Linked DNA regions of Rattus norvegicus. The protein of the gene in region 4 interacts with the protein of the main gene of each other region in a pairwise test. Links are inferred from orthologs where the notes say so. Each region holds a gene or a part of one and is shown on either strand. Other genes may lie near its edges.

Region 1 (3,500 bases), on a different chromosome or scaffold from region 4:
CTGTCCTGGTGCTTCATGGGAAACAGCTAGGGGTGGGAACATGGACGACTATGGACCTGAGGGTGAAGAGTGCAAGAAATCCAGAGGCTAAGTGCTGTCACTGCTCTGTGCCTCGGTTTCCCCTTCTGTAAGCTGACGTGGTAACAGCTGTCCTGTGTTGCCCTGAGCTTTGGGGTGAGGTAAAGAGATGTACGTGGGTGACCTACAACACTGCAGAAGAGAACCCTTGCCTGTCACCTGCCCTGAGGCCCTTCCCAAGTGGGTTTTAATTCAAGGTGGCTCCGGCCTTGTCCACCTCCTCTGCCCTTCCTAGGAGCTGTTGTTAACTGTCCCACGTGGTTGTGGGTTGGGATGGAGCTCTTTGGGATCTGGAAGGACAGGGGGACAGGCTTGGGCTAGGATCATTATAGAGGAGTGTTGCCCTCTTGGGCCTGTCCCAGGGATGGTATGCATCTTCCCAGGCCTTGGGGACCACCTGCAGATTCCACACACAACACAGGGATGTAGGGTACCAAAGGTGTGGTAGCACTGTGCAGAGCCTATACTACCCAGGGAAAGAGGCCTGGCCCCTGCCCCCCACACAGGTCACAGGAGTGTCAGCTTGGAGCCTTAGACTGCACCCTCCTGACCCCCACCACTCCCACAGGTTGGGTGATTGAACTTGTCTTCTCCGTTGAGGCCATTGTGCCCAAAGCACAGGAGGGCCTCTGTGCCAATGCATACATCTGCCAATGTATGCAAGATGCCTTCCATTATGAGAACAAGGCTGAGTGTCTCTGGGAGGCTCTCATGATTGACTAGCTTGGATGTGGTAGACACGGGGTAGCTAATCCCCAAGGGAAGGCTAGTGTGAGAGGCCTGGGTATCACCCTCAAAGACTGGCATTGTTGTTCAGCAGAAGGGTGAGGACCAGCCAGCCCTTCCATCCAAGGATGTGAGGCTCACAGGTTCCTGCTATTTGAAAGGTCATTGCTGCAGGCTGGGCTCCTGCTCATTAGTAGCACCACCTGCAAACAGCCCCACTTGGGTCATTGGCAGAGGTGATGAAACTGCAGGACAACTTGTCTTCTCTAATTGGACCAGAGGCCAAGTGGAGGATATTTTCCTCTTAATAGCTCATCTGTGCTCATTAGGCCTGTGACTAGCACCCAAGGTAAATGTCAGAGGATCTGCAGGCCCTGTCTTCCAGCTTCCTGTTCTCTCTGGGTACAGAGGACACTGAGGTACCATCCATGATAAGCAGGTGGAAACAGTCAAGAGGGAAGCCTGGCCTGGTGTTAGCACACCCCATGCTGTGCCCGGGACAGACATGACTAATCAATTACAGCACACATTCATTGAATCTAGCATTGGCTTCAGCTTTTCCATGCAGCCCAGCTACGCCATGAAATATGGAGCCACTGACTACCCCTCACCCAAAAGGTGGGGGACTGTGCTGTTACCTACCATGTGGCACAAAGTCCTGCTCTAGGGTAGGTTGAAGGTCTGAGCTCAGCCTGCTGTTGCCTTGAGGAAGGACGGAATAGAAGGACTATCTTCAGACTGCTTCAGAGCTGGGACCTGGGGCTTGGATTGAGCATGATCCCTGATAGGCTAGTGGTATCAGGTTAAGCATGTTGCTTAAATAATGTCTATGTAAGGGGGCTGGGGATTTAGCTCAGTGGTAGAGCGCTTACCTAGGAAGCGCAAGGCCCTGGGTTCGGTCCCCAGCTCCGAAAAAAAGAACCAAAAAAAAAAAAAATAATGTCTATGTCAGATGACTGAGGGGAGAGCAGAAGGGGTGATTGCCTGATAGAGCATGAAGGTATCTGCTCCCCAGAAACCAGTTGTCTCCGATGGTTTGGGATTACCTGTCAGTAGGCCTCAGGCTGACAACAGGGAGTTTGTCAGCTGAGGACAGGCTGTAGGCTACCATGCGCTCTCTTCTCTGAGACAAGCAGTCACTTGTTTCCTTGCCTGTCCATTGCAGACGACGGGAAACTGTCCCTTGAGGAATTTCAACTGTTCTTCGCGGATGGCGTCCTCAATGAGAAGGAGCTGGAGGGCCTCTTCCACACCATTGATTCAGACAACACCAAGTGAGCCTGGGCTACTGTGGGGCACCCTGGGATGTGTGGGCTCCTCCCTTCTTCACAGTGCCAAGGTCCTGTTTAAGGGCAAGAGGCCTAGAACTCCCCTGACTCAATAATTCAAAAGTCAGACTTACTTGATCCTCGCTGCCAAGCTGCCTGAGCCCCGTGTGTGTGTGTGTGTGTGTGTGTGTGTGTCCCACAAAGTTTGTCTTTTCTGAGCGACCTTGGCCAAACGGGGAGAGACCCTGGGCCTGCTGCAGTATACGCAGGACTGATGGGAAGTTGGCTGTGGCCCTGCCTGCTATCTCTCCATTCAGTTCTAATCCCAGCGTGACCTCAGACACCGCTTTCCCTGTGAACCACCATCCCAAACCACCCTACAGTGTCTATGAATCCCAACTCTAGCCTGAACTCCACTTCTGTCTTTTTTTTTTTTTTTCTGGAGCTGGGGACTGAACCCAGGGCCTTGAGCTTGCTAGACAAGCGCTCTGCCACTGAGCTAAATCCCCAACCCCTGTGAATTCCACTTCTGACCTTGGAACAAAATGAACTTGTTTCTGTAACCCACTAAGAACTTGGACCTGTGACTCAGCCTCCCAGGACACCTGGCGTCCAGAGCCAGCATAAGTGTGCAGTGTCCTTCACTCATCTTTGTCTGATGCCCCTGAATTCTGCCTGGGTGGGCAACAGCCACCTGGTCACCTTCCTCTGCCCCACTGAGGTGCTGAGGACTAAAGTTTCTAGGGGTGCTAGGGCAGGTGGGATCACTTGGGGGGCCCAGAGCCTAGCGGTGATGTAGGTACATGGTTACTACCGGGCCACTTTGCAGTTTGCTTGTAAAGTGGTAGCCAGGAACTGAGGCTGGAGACCTGACAGGGTGTAATTTTCTGAGGATGTCTTTTGGTTCTCATAGTAGAGCAGGGCTCTCTGTGTCCAGGCCATCTGAGGTCTTAGCTTCTCTGCAGCCTCTTGGGCACACATTCTTGGGATGCAGAGGCAAGCGGACCTCTGAGTTCAAGGCCAGCCTGAGTGAGTTCCAGGACAGCCAGGGCTACACAGAGAAACCCTGTCTCAAAAAACAAACAAACAAACAAACAAACAAAAAGATCCAAAGAGGTTGCCCTGAAGGATGGGGTGGGGTTGGGGGATCTATCCCTATAGGGAAGGTCACAATTCTGAAGACATTCTGGATTCTTGACTCCAGTATTCCCTGAAGTAGACATAAGAAGCAACATTTCCGGTTGTCTGAGGCACTCCAAGGCAGTCGCCGGCCTTGGAATCTACAGACAACCTTTTCTCAGATGGGCATGGCATCTACCAAAAGCAGTCCTGAGCCAGGGTAGAGGCTAGGCCCAGAGAGGAGGCATCAGACCCCACACAGACCCTGCTGGTCCCTCTGCTGCAGCTTCTGGTGCTGATGCCTTCACG
Region 2 (3,500 bases), about 110 Mb from region 4:
GATGCCTGACAAAACTGTGGCAGGCAGAGATAAGAGGCTGTCACACTTACAATATGAAAGAAGTTACCAGAAATAAAAATTCTCTAAGGGCAGCTTGTGAGCGTTCACAGAGGGAAGGGAGCACCTCACAGCACAGCACAATGCGGCCAGAACACGGTCTGCAGGATTAGCTTCAGAAAGCACGGGCCCCATCACATCACAATGTCAGCAGCTACAAACATGCTATCAGCCGTGTGTGGCAGCATAAATACTGTCTGGACCTGTGGCTTTGAAACGGGCGCATCCAAAGCTGAAGGGGGGAATTTCTGCCACAGTGCCTGGTAAATGCTGTTAACATTCAGTGGCATCAGTAAATGGCCTACAGTTTAATAATTTTATGTATTCCCCACCAAGAAACTAAAAATATAAGTCTCAAAGAGGGGTGATTTTCACCGCATGAGGAAATTCGACACAATCTGAGCATGCTTGCTATCACATGGAGAAGATCTGTTTGACTGTCAACTAGACAAGGGTGCTGCTGGGCATTCTAGAACATTCTCCACAGCCCCCTAACCCATAGCAGCTCAGCTGTTTTAAAGCCAGCCTCAGAACATTAGGGTGTATTCATCACATCCGGGAATCTGAGTTCAATTTCCAGCATCCAAAACAAACTGTCTAAAATTTCCTAGATCCTTAAATATTTACACTAGGAATACACAGGAACAGTGAGATAGTAAAAGGCTGTTATTTGCCTATGTTGGAATAAGCCATTTTGTATTACAATTTAAACTTGCCTCTAATTTCAGCTACTGTGAAAAACAAGTCATCAAAATCTACAAACCTGTCAACACCCGTGGCGTGCCCACCCAAGGCGCTGTGCCAGTGAACTGGCAGGAACTCCACTCTGCTGACTTTCCCTTCATCTACAGACTTCTTGAAGTGTGTCTGCAGCAACTTGAGAGAAACCACCCTAAAATCATCCACTTTAAAAAAAAAAAGAGTAAATTATCTTACCATTGTAGCTAATTAACTAAAATCTGCTGGCTTTTTACAAAAAGATAGATGTTTTTAAAAAGATGAAAAAATAGTAAATGAACAAACACTGACTGATCAGAAGTACGTCTTAAGTTATATTGTATTTAAGGCCTTAAAAAACTTAGTTTAACTTCCTCAAACTCCCTCCTCAGCACCAGGTTCCAGAACCGACGTGACCCTGGCACACTAACTCAGCCAGGGCCTCTCCTCTCCTAGCACTGGCAGTAGCAGTGACACACCCACACCTGAAGGTGTATCTGAGAGGCTGAGGACAACACACGTGCTGGGAGCACTGAGTCCTCAGTAAGCTCAGACAGTTACTACAGACAAAGCCCTAAGCAGCTTCTCGGAGGACTCCCTCTGTAGCAGCTCAGTACACAGGAGCTCTATGCTGCTCCGAGGGCTCAGCCAGGTTGGCTGTTGGCCAAAACGGTGAAATCATTACCCAGATGCCTTCTAATTCTTCAGAATCCAGGAGTGTATGCAATAAGAGCAGATCAAACACAGATCAATACTTCCTATTGACCACAGAAATCTCCACTCACAGTCCCCAGCCACAAGTACATAGCTAGCAACTACCATAACAATGAACACTAAAGAGCCCCTCTACCAGCAATCGGAGGTGTCTATAAACCAAGATGTGGCGTGCACTTACCACATTCAATAATGCTTCTAAAGCGCAAGTCACACACTGGCCCAATGCCATGCACCATGAACACCAAATGGTCAACTTGAGGCATTTCCCCTGGTAAAAACAAATAAATTATCATTATCATAAAACACACATATACACAAAGCTGAGTACTTGGTATTGTTAATTAAATTGCTAAATTCTTGATATTCTTATTATCATAAACTAGTCAAAGAAATCCATTACCCTCCCAAGCAAATATCTCTCATTTCCTCATATTAAATTAGAATAATTTGTCTAGTTTGGCAAATAATGGCACACTAAATGGAGAGGTTAAGAAAACATCAGTTCAGGCTGGAGAGATGGCTCAGCGGTTAAGAGCACCCGACTACTCTTCCAGAGGTCCTGAATTCAATTCCCAGCAGCCACATGGTGGCTCACAACCATCTGTAAAGAGATTTGATGCCCTCTTCTGGTGTGTCTGAAGACAGCTACAGTGTACTTATATAAATAAATGAATAAATCTTTAAAAAAAAAAAGAAAAGAAAACATCAGTTCTTCACAGACCTACTGACCCTCATAATGTATATTTTTTTTTTTCAGAACTCCACATAACTGGGATGAAACTGTAGCTGTGTGGAATAAAGTGTGTACATGGCCCTGAGCTCAATCCCCTACACCAAACAAACAAGCAAAACCAAACATCCTTCATAGAACTCTAAGCCCAACATGGACACACAATCTGACAATATAAAACTTTAAAGTCTTTATTCCCAAAGTCCCTCCCCTTAATTCAAAAGCATTCTAAGACAGCCAGCCAAGGTCCTGGGACCTCCCTCTGGAGAGAGAGGCAGGTAAATCTCTGTGAGCTGGAGGCTAGCATGGTCTACAAAGCAAGTTCCAGGCCAATCAGAGCTATACACTGTAACCCTATCTCCAAACAGAACAAAAACCAATAGGAGTATGGTTGAGTAAGAATGGACACCATAGGCTCATATATGAATGCTTAGTCGCTAGGGAATGGAACTGTTTGGGAAGGACTGGGAGGTGTGGCCTTAGAGGGGTTATGTCATGAAGTGGGCTTTGATGTTTCAAAAGCATAAACCAGGCCCAGTCACTCTCTTTGCCTTCAGAACAGAATCTAAAGCTCTCAGCTCTTTCTCCAGCCCCATGCCTGCTTGCTTGCACGCCTGCCTGCTGCCATGTTTCCTACCATGATAATAGTAAAAATTGAAAGCAAGCCCCCCAATTAAATGCTTCCTTTTCTAAGAGTTGCCTTGGTCTTGGTGTCTCATCATAATAACAGACCGGTAACAAGACAAGATATATCTCAAAGTTCAATCTATTTTCCTACACTATTTCATCCGGATCTCATAACACCTATTTATCTTATCTTATTAGACAATGAAATGTCTAGTATCAAAATAAAATATGTTCTTCAATGGCAGAAAAGAGGAAAACCAAGTGTGGAGGTATACATCTGTCACGCCAGCTCTTGGGATGCTGAGACAGAAGAACTGCTGTAGGTCAACTTTGACTACATAGTGAAAGGCTGTCTCAAAAAGGTTGGGGACAGGGTTGCTGGCAAGATGGGTCAGAAGTTAAGAACATTTACTCCTCCTTCTAGAGGACCCAACTTTAGTTTCTAGCACCTACGTCATGTGGTCACAATTGCCTATACCTCCCTGCCCTTTCAGAAGACATGATACCTTCCTTTGGCTTCCTCAAGCATTTGCACATACACATGAATGAAGAAATAGTAATAAATCTTTCAAAAAGCCAAGTTTGGTAGCTCATAGAATAATCACATCACTTAGAAAGCTAAAGCAGGAAGATCTCTGTAATATAAGGCAAA
Region 3 (3,500 bases), on a different chromosome or scaffold from region 4:
TTTGAATACCTTTTCTTCTCTCCGTCCTCAAGGGTGTCTGGTGACCCTGGCAGGGCCTGCCGGCAGAGGTGTTAGGGGGCATGCTCGCTGTTGGTTGGGCGAGGGTGGACGAGGGCGGGGTGGGTGTTGGGCCGCTGCTGTTCTCTCTCGCTCACTCCCTAGGTCTTCCTCTCTCCTCTCTGTGTGGCTCTGGTGACAGGGACGATCCGTAAGGCTCAGAACCTTCTGAAACAGTATTCCCAGCATGGTCTAGATGGGAAAAAGGGGGGCTCTAACCTCATTCCTCTGGAAGGTAATCACCCTGTGCTCCTTCCCCTCTTCCACTGTGTGTCTGCTTACTTGTCGGGCAGGGCAGAGCCTCCCCCAGGAGAGCATGGGACAGATCCTGAGGGGGCTGGGTGGCAGCGGCAAACCCCTGATGCTCCTCAGGCTTCAGCAGGCCCGAGGACAAGTTTCATGGCCCTGATCCTGCCTGGCTCTGCCCTTCCTAAGGCTCCTGCTCCCTGTCCCTGTCCTTGTGTCCTGTGTGAACTCAGAGAACACTGTCTTGGGGCAGCCCTTTCACGCCCAGATCAGCAGGGCAGGACCAAGTTGGCCAGGGCCTCCTGGCTACCTGCCTCTGTAGAAAGAGTACTTCATGTAGCTAAGGGGACAGGCTGCCTGAGGGACATGTCCCTCCTCTCCTGTGAAGGGAGGGACAGGTAGATCTGCAGACCTGGTGGACCCAGCCTCTTACAAAGGAAGGCTGTCCTCATTCACTCAGCAGTGACATTTTCACTGTGTCTCCCTGGGGCTGTGTGCCTTCTCTTGGTCTCCCTAGGTCAGAAAACACACAGCCAGGGATGGTCCTGAGACCCCTTAAGAATCAGGCTTGAAAAGGCTGTTCCCAGTGGCATCTGAGGTGGTGGAGGGGCTCAGAGCCCTCCTCAGTGCCCCCTCCCTAGCCCCATTTCACGCTCCGCTCCTGGAGATCAAGGGTTTCGTCCCCATACCCAAGGGGCAGCTGCCTGGCCCCTGGATAAATGCTGCTTGTGTTTGTGTGGCCGACATCTTGCTAGGTCATGAGCATGATTTTCGAGTTAAGCACCTGTCAGAGGCCCTGAATGACAAGCACGGGCCACTGGCCGGTGAGTACCGTAGCCCAGCCCCAGGGTAGCCAAACACTGCCTTGGAAGTACTGCCCCCGATGGCCTGCTCTGTCGAAGGATGGGCCTGTCCCGTGGCCTAGCTCCCACTCCAGGCTCCTTTGGGCCTAGGTCTCCTTGCCTCTTATGAGATGGGAGTGCATGCTTGGCTCCTGGGGCCTGGCTAGAGGAGCAGCTGCAGCCTGAGCTCGGAAGGAGGCAGGAGGACAGGTGGCTCCTCTGAGGTCAAGGAACCTGGATGTTGCACTTCTTGGAGCCTGCCCATGCCATATAAAACCGGACTGTTCTACCCTGGCATGCGTGTCCAACTTCTTTTTTTTTTTTTTTTTTTTTTTTTTCGGAGCTGGGGACCGAACCCAGGGCCTTGCGCTTGGTAGGCAAGCGCTCTACCACTGAGCCAAATCCCCAACCCCTACATGTCCAACTTCTAATAGAGGGACGCTGTCTTCCCTGGGGCTGTTCGACAAAGAGACGCCGAGACTCACTTATCTCCTCTCAGACTGTTCTGTTTTGTTGAGGGAGAACCTCGCTATGTCCTTCAAGCTGGCCTCGAACTCAGTCATCACCCCCCAGTGGGTGGGCATTGGGGTCATAGTTATACATCACACTCGGTCTGCTAATTCTCCCTGGAATTAGCTCTCCTCTGTACACATGCCAGCTAGCCTCAGAGCCCACCACTCCCTCACACTTTCAGGGCCCGGTGCAGTTGGTAATGACCTTCGTAGGAACCACATCTCCCAGGTTGAAGACCACATCAACCCCCTTCTTAAAATGAACACTGCCACCTGCCTTTCCTGGACCACCCTCTTTGAAGCAGTTCAGAATCCTCAGACCTGGGCAGACAACCTTATCCAGGAAGTTGGTTTGGGAATTTCCTTCCTTGGCGCTTTCTGCCACCACCTCTAGTGTTTGATCTGGGGACTTAAATGCTGCCTGTGCAGAGCTGACAGTGGCACCAGGACACGGTCTGGACTCAGTTCCTGATCTCCCAGGTCTGCCAGAACAGTCTTTATAGCTTCCTGTCCTGTTTGTGTCTTCCTTTTCCTGTTTACTGCCTGTCTGGGCTCAGCCCAGGAGCTGGGGATACTCATACCCCAAGTAGAGCGAGTGGCCTCTCCCAGACCAGCACTCAGGGTCACTGCTGTCCCCTAGGGAGAGATGACATGCTGGACGTGGAGACAGATGCCTACATTCACTGCGTTAGTGCCTTTGTCAGGCTGGCACAGAGTGAATACCAGCTGCTGATGGGCATCATTCCCGAGCATCACCAGAAGAAAACCTTCGACTCCTTGATACAGGTCTCACTCCTCCCGCCACGCTGCTCTGCGCTGACCCTGTAACTTTTACTGCAGAATCTAGAGGGTGGGGCGGGGCTGCTGCCCTAAGCCCTCAACTCTATTGGATGTAGTCTCCTCCCCCATCCCTCACAGCACTCTGGCTTTCCTTCGTGCCCCACAAAGTGACTCACTGTCCCAGGAACCAGCTCTGGCCTTGTCCCTCCTCTAGGATGCCCTAGATGGGCTGATGCTTGAAGGGGAGAACATAGTGTCCGCGGCCAGGAAAGCCATCATCCGCCATGACTTCTCCACCGTGCTCACCGTCTTCCCCATCCTGCGACACCTCAAGCAGACCAAGCCTGAGTTTGACCAGGTGCTCCAGGTATGTGAGCCAGGAGGTCCTAAGGGCCTCTCTCTCTGTCTGTCTCTCTGTCACACACTCACACATACTGGCACACAGGCACACAGACAAACAGACAAAGACAGACAGACACATGCACGCACACATGCACGCACGCGGGTACATGCCACGGTGTCCCTTTACTCCTTCTGGGGAATTAGCCCATGCTCACCTAGAGCTCTAATGAGTGACTCCCAAGGGGCTTTGGACAAGTCAGGATGCTTGCAAGGCAACAGAAGAGCTGTGGTTAATCTTGACCTGGAGAATCCAGCCTTCAGACTAAGGGTTGGGAAGGGCCTAGAAGGATATACCACACTCAGGGCTTGCTGGAGAGGGCAGTGACTGGACTCTGATGACTGTTTCAGTCATGTCCTTCCTCAGGGCACAGCAGCCAGCACGAAGAACAAGCTGCCAGGCCTCATCACCTCCATGGAGACCATTGGGGCCAAAGCTCTAGAAGACTTTGCGGATAACATCAAGGTGCCTGCAACCCCTTCCCCTTCAGTGAGCTCTGGGGACTCCTCAGAGAGCAGGCCCTCAACAGAGTCAGTCGGTCTTAGAACTGCTGCTGCAGTACTGGTTCCCTGGGGGGCCCTTTGAGCACCTTCGTTTCTTCCCAGCCCTCTGCAGCTGACTTCCTGGTCTTGTACAGACCGAGGCGGAGGGGCATCCTTACAG
Region 4 (4,277 bases):
GTTATTGGAGGCCTGTGGCTACCAGGCAGAGGGAGGCTGGGGCTGCATGGGCTATATGCTGGTTAGGGAATTCAGCAAAGACCTGTGATTGGAGACTATGCCCATTGGGTAGATGGGCAGAGAACCAGCACCTAAAGAACACCTACTGTGTGCCGTGCACTTTACATCCCCTCCCGCAGTGTCCACCTAGTCTGCTGGGCTGATAGTGAGGCACCAAGGTTGATGGACTTACATGCTCACAGTGGACCTGCCAGATGCAATGGGGACTCTAAACTCAAATAGAACAAATTCCTTCTTGGTCTTCTGGGACCACTAGAAGTCGCCCTGTTCACTTCTCCCCCCCCCCAACCCCCAGCCCCAGTCTGTATGCACTGAAAAAACTTGTGGTTCTGGGTCTACAAAGCCCCTGTTGCGTGTATTTGAGGTCTGGAAGGGATATCTGGGGGGGGGGGAGAGAGAGAGAGAGAGAGAGAGAGAGAGAGAGACTGAGACTCTCAGAGTTAGAGTCTGACAGGGAACTCCCAAAGGGGACAGATCTTCTGGGAGTGGGTGGGACTGGGAGCATAGTGTCTCCAAGACCATCTGGTTTTTTACACTGTTTGTTAATAAATCCTGAAACTTCTGTGTGCCTGTCTCCTCTCTGATGCATTTTCCAGCTGCTCTCTCCAGACTCCCTCCTTCTGTCTGGCTCCTCCTCTCCAAAGTTGACATTAATTGCTAGAGAAGTTGGGGGGGGGGAGGCGCGTGCACTGTGCTGGGAAAAGGAGAAGCAGTGAGCTCACAGCGGCAGCCCAGTCTCTGCCAGGCCTTCTGAGTCATGCTCCCCATTACCAAAGTTTTTCCCTTTACAGCTGCCTGCTGTGTGTGTGTGTGTGTGTGTGTGTGTGTGTGTGTGTGTGTGTGTGTACACCCCCTCCAAACCGAGGCCTTGACCCCCTTGGTCTCTCTACCCTCCATACCTTTGTTCTAGGAACTGGTAAGTTGTAAGTTCAGACACTCCTTCCTCAAATAGGCACTGGGAGGTTCCCATCCAGATTTGCCACAGTGGGTGTCAAATGGAGAGAGAGGTTTTTCAGTTTCTCTTCTAGATCTAGGAAGTCCCTCCTAGTGTCTGGCTGCAGGCCCTCTTGCTACTGCAGGATTCCCCCAAATCTGTCCACTCCCGTTTACACTTACTTGCCTGGCTGGACAATAAGAGGAGGCAAAAGGGTGTGCCCTCAGCCCTGTCCCCCAGACACCCAGGCCTGCCCCTTCCCAGAACTGCCATCCCCAGAAGCATCTCTAAGCGCGTGGCCCTCTGGAGCTTGGCTGGCCGCCTCCCTCCAGTGTGGGTGTTTGCACTTGAACACCTCCCTTCTGCCTGCCCACCGCCCCCCCTCCTCCAGGCTCAGCTGTGGCCAGCCCCCTCCCCCTCCTGTCCCCTGCTGCATCCCTGCAGCCTCTCTCCCTCCTGGCAAAGCCTTCAGCCCAGCCTGCTCCTAGCTGTCCAGGGCGCCTCAGCAGCGGCTTCCCTCCCTCCTATCCTCCCTGGCTGCCTCCGCCTCCCCTCTCCTGCCCTCTTTCCCCTTTCACCCCATCCCCTGCCCTGGACTCTGCAAACATGAGGGTCTTGGCGTGTCTTCTTGGTGAGTGATCCATTCCCGTGGGGGGTGGGGCACCTTAGGGGCCTGGACCCTCACCTCTGACACTTTAGCTTCTCCAGTTCAGGGACTCATACTATAGGGAGCCTGTTCTGGTCCCTGGTGCTGTGTGATAGCCTGACATCTGGTCGGCCCCTCTAATCCCTCAGGGACCCAGCCTTCTGCTAGTCCTGCCTAGCAACTCAAGTGACCTGCCCTTTGTTGCCCCTGCATGCACTCTGTGGAGCTATCACTCCCACCATTCAATATGGTCCCCAGCCCTGTCTTCAAGGGTCAGGCATCCGGGGCCCCACCCACCCCAGGGACCTGTAACTTATCCCAGCCTCCACCCAAAGTCCATTCCAGCAATGGGGCTTCTGACTCAGAGGTATGAGGAATCTGTATGTGAATGATGCTTCCCACTGAACTGAAGCTGGAAGCCTGCACTGGGGAAAGGACCCCTCCCCTCTGATTTACCCTTCACTCTGTCCCTTCCAATCTCCTTTGCAGCAATGCTGGTGGGGATCCAGGCTATAGGTAAGTGTCCTGATTCTGCACTTGGCCTCACCCAGCTCTAAGCCTCCCCTCTCTCCTGCTGGTCCCTGCTGCCCAGATTCCACTCAGCTCCCCTGACAGTGCAGGCCATGGGTCCCCATCCAGCAGGGACACTGAGTCTTCTCTAGAGTTAGCTGCACGCTGACCTATGGGAGAGAAGCAAAGTTATGAGGACAGTGATGGGGGAGGAGTAGAAGGGCCATTTGACCCCTGGCAGAAGGACTTTGGATGCCCGAATTCCCTGGTTCAGTGTCCTTCCACACAGCCCCCAGCATCTCTGAGATACTCCTCTTATTTGCACCCAGGAGTCTGGGACCAGGGCCCAGCCTCCAGGGTAGCTGGATTCCTGATGGTAGCTTGTAACACACACCCCCCACCGCCACCCTTGGTGTCACCGTGCCTACAGTACTCCTGTCTGGAGTTACAGTTTTTTTCTTCACCCCTCAGAGCGACTCCGCCTGGCTGATGGCCCTCATGGCTGTGCAGGACGCCTGGAGGTCTGGTACAGCGGGCGCTGGGGCACCGTGTGTGATGACGGATGGGACCTTCGGGATGCTGCAGTGGCCTGCCGTGTGTTGGGCTGCGGAGGGGCGCTAGCCGCCCCCGGGGGTGCCTTCTTTGGGGAGGGCACTGGGCCCGTGTGGCTCAGTGAGCTGGCCTGTCGGGGCAGTGAGGGACAGCTGGGTATCTGTCCCCACCGGGGCTGGAAGGCTCATATCTGCTCTCACGAGGAGGACGCGGGCGTCGTCTGTGTAGGTAAAAAGATTCAAACTCCTCTTATGGTTCTGGCCCCAGGAACCCCCAAGCCCTTAGTTCCCACAGATCTGAGCTGTCTGGAAGCTGAGAGATAACCAATTCCAGATCTCATAAGGCCAGGTGCCCACCCCCAAAGACTGCCAGCTTATTTCTGAGCCCCAGGGAATTCAGGCATCCAAGGTCCTTCTGCCCCAGGGGTCAAATGGCCCTTCTACTCCTCCCCCATCACTGTCCTCATAACTTTGCTTCTCTCCCATAGGTCAGCGTGCAGCTAACTCTAGAGAAGACTCAGTGTCCCTGCTGGATGGGGACCCATGGCTGGCACTGTCTGGGGAGCTGAGCCCCAGCTCAGAGGAGCCCCCTATAACTCATGGTGAGCACAAAGGACTAGGCTTCCCATCCTGCACCCTGGTTGGACTCATCTATGGGGAAGGTCGTCACGCAGACGTTTTCCCAGCAAGCTGGTTTCCTTTGTTACCTAGAAATCCTCTGTCCAGAAATCTTTCAAACCCTCAGAAAAGAATCCCTAGACAGATGAAAGAAGTCAGGAAGGGTGGCCAGCTCAGATCCTGAGTTCCTGGTCACATGTCACTTTCCTAGCTCCCCAGCCGGCAGCAAGCTCCCAGAATGGCCCCCGAAAGAAGAACCCCCGGCCACCCAAGCAGGTCAAGTCCACCCGAGCCCCTGTACTGACAAATGGAGCTCCCCGCCAAGGTAAGTCTCTAAATCTCCCTTAGACAAGGTCCTGATCTGGGTGCTATGAGACCCTAGACCCGGCCAAACTGAGGATCCCAGACCTCCATTCAGCCAATGACTCTCCAAGGAGACCAACATTCATTGTTTCCTCCCTTCAGATCCAGTCAGGGCTGGCCACCCCCTCTTCTTGATCCTTCCTCTATGAGAACCAGAGGGATAGCAGTTTTCTTTTCTAAATTAGCCAATCGGCAGGCAAACCTCAGTCCTCTGCTATTTCTGGGCCTTAGCTTCCCCAGGTGAACAAACAAGAAGCTGCCCCTCCAAGCTGACATTAGCCTCATACGGTCTCCTGTCTTCCCTGTCTGCACCCCCCAGAGCGGCTGCGTCTGGTCTCAGGTCCCCATGGATGTGCCGGCCGCCTGGAAGTCTGGCACGGTGGACGTTGGGGTACTGTCTGCGATGATGGATGGGACCTCCGAGACGCAGCAGTGGCCTGTAGGGAGCTAGGATGTGGGGGAGCGCTGGCCGCCCCTGGAGGTGCCAGATTCGGACCTGGTGAGGGACCCGTGTGGATGGACGATGTCGGGTGTGGAGGAGGAGAGGAGGCCCTCCGGGACTGTCCCCGAAGCCCCTGGGGCCGGAGCAACTGTG

What was found.
Region 1: the proteins of Ssc5d (region 4) and Necab2 interact in binary tests that used the Homo sapiens proteins (3 or more experiments, as listed by UniProt). The two-hybrid records come from large-scale screens. The link is inferred for Rattus norvegicus from reciprocal best matches to the Homo sapiens genes SSC5D and NECAB2.
Region 2: the proteins of Ssc5d (region 4) and Sec23ip interact in binary tests that used the Homo sapiens proteins (3 or more experiments, as listed by UniProt). The two-hybrid records come from large-scale screens. The link is inferred for Rattus norvegicus from reciprocal best matches to the Homo sapiens genes SSC5D and SEC23IP.
Region 3: the proteins of Ssc5d (region 4) and Exoc7 interact in binary tests that used the Homo sapiens proteins (3 or more experiments, as listed by UniProt). The two-hybrid records come from large-scale screens. The link is inferred for Rattus norvegicus from reciprocal best matches to the Homo sapiens genes SSC5D and EXOC7.

The regions. Positions count from the first base shown.
Region 1 is NC_086037.1:64,412,999-64,416,498, forward strand, and holds part of Necab2 (N-terminal EF-hand calcium-binding protein 2), read left to right. Parts: intron 1-1,969; coding exon 1,970-2,078; intron 2,079-3,500. UniProt on the Homo sapiens protein: May act as a signaling scaffold protein that senses intracellular calcium.
Region 2 is NC_086019.1:192,768,381-192,771,880, reverse strand, and holds part of Sec23ip (SEC23-interacting protein), read right to left. Parts: intron 1,760-3,500; coding exon 1,670-1,759; intron 963-1,669; coding exon 821-962; intron 1-820. UniProt on the Homo sapiens protein: Plays a role in the organization of endoplasmic reticulum exit sites. Specifically binds to phosphatidylinositol 3-phosphate (PI(3)P), phosphatidylinositol 4-phosphate (PI(4)P) and phosphatidylinositol 5-phosphate (PI(5)P).
Region 3 is NC_086028.1:102,025,802-102,029,301, reverse strand, and holds part of Exoc7 (exocyst complex component 7), read left to right. Parts: intron 1-199; coding exon of another isoform or gene 200-303; intron 304-970; coding exon of another isoform or gene 971-1,127; intron 1,128-2,297; coding exon 2,298-2,443; intron 2,444-2,651; coding exon 2,652-2,804; intron 2,805-3,203; coding exon 3,204-3,302; intron 3,303-3,500. UniProt on the Homo sapiens protein: Component of the exocyst complex involved in the docking of exocytic vesicles with fusion sites on the plasma membrane.
Region 4 is NC_086019.1:77,935,775-77,940,051, reverse strand, and holds the start of Ssc5d (soluble scavenger receptor cysteine-rich domain-containing protein SSC5D precursor), read left to right. Parts: upstream 1-1,477; 5' UTR 1,478-1,600; coding exon 1,601-1,625; intron 1,626-2,129; coding exon 2,130-2,156; intron 2,157-2,621; coding exon 2,622-2,930; intron 2,931-3,189; coding exon 3,190-3,303; intron 3,304-3,530; coding exon 3,531-3,644; intron 3,645-4,001; coding exon 4,002-4,277. Other genes in the region: Nat14 (probable N-acetyltransferase 14), read left to right, coding at 1-88.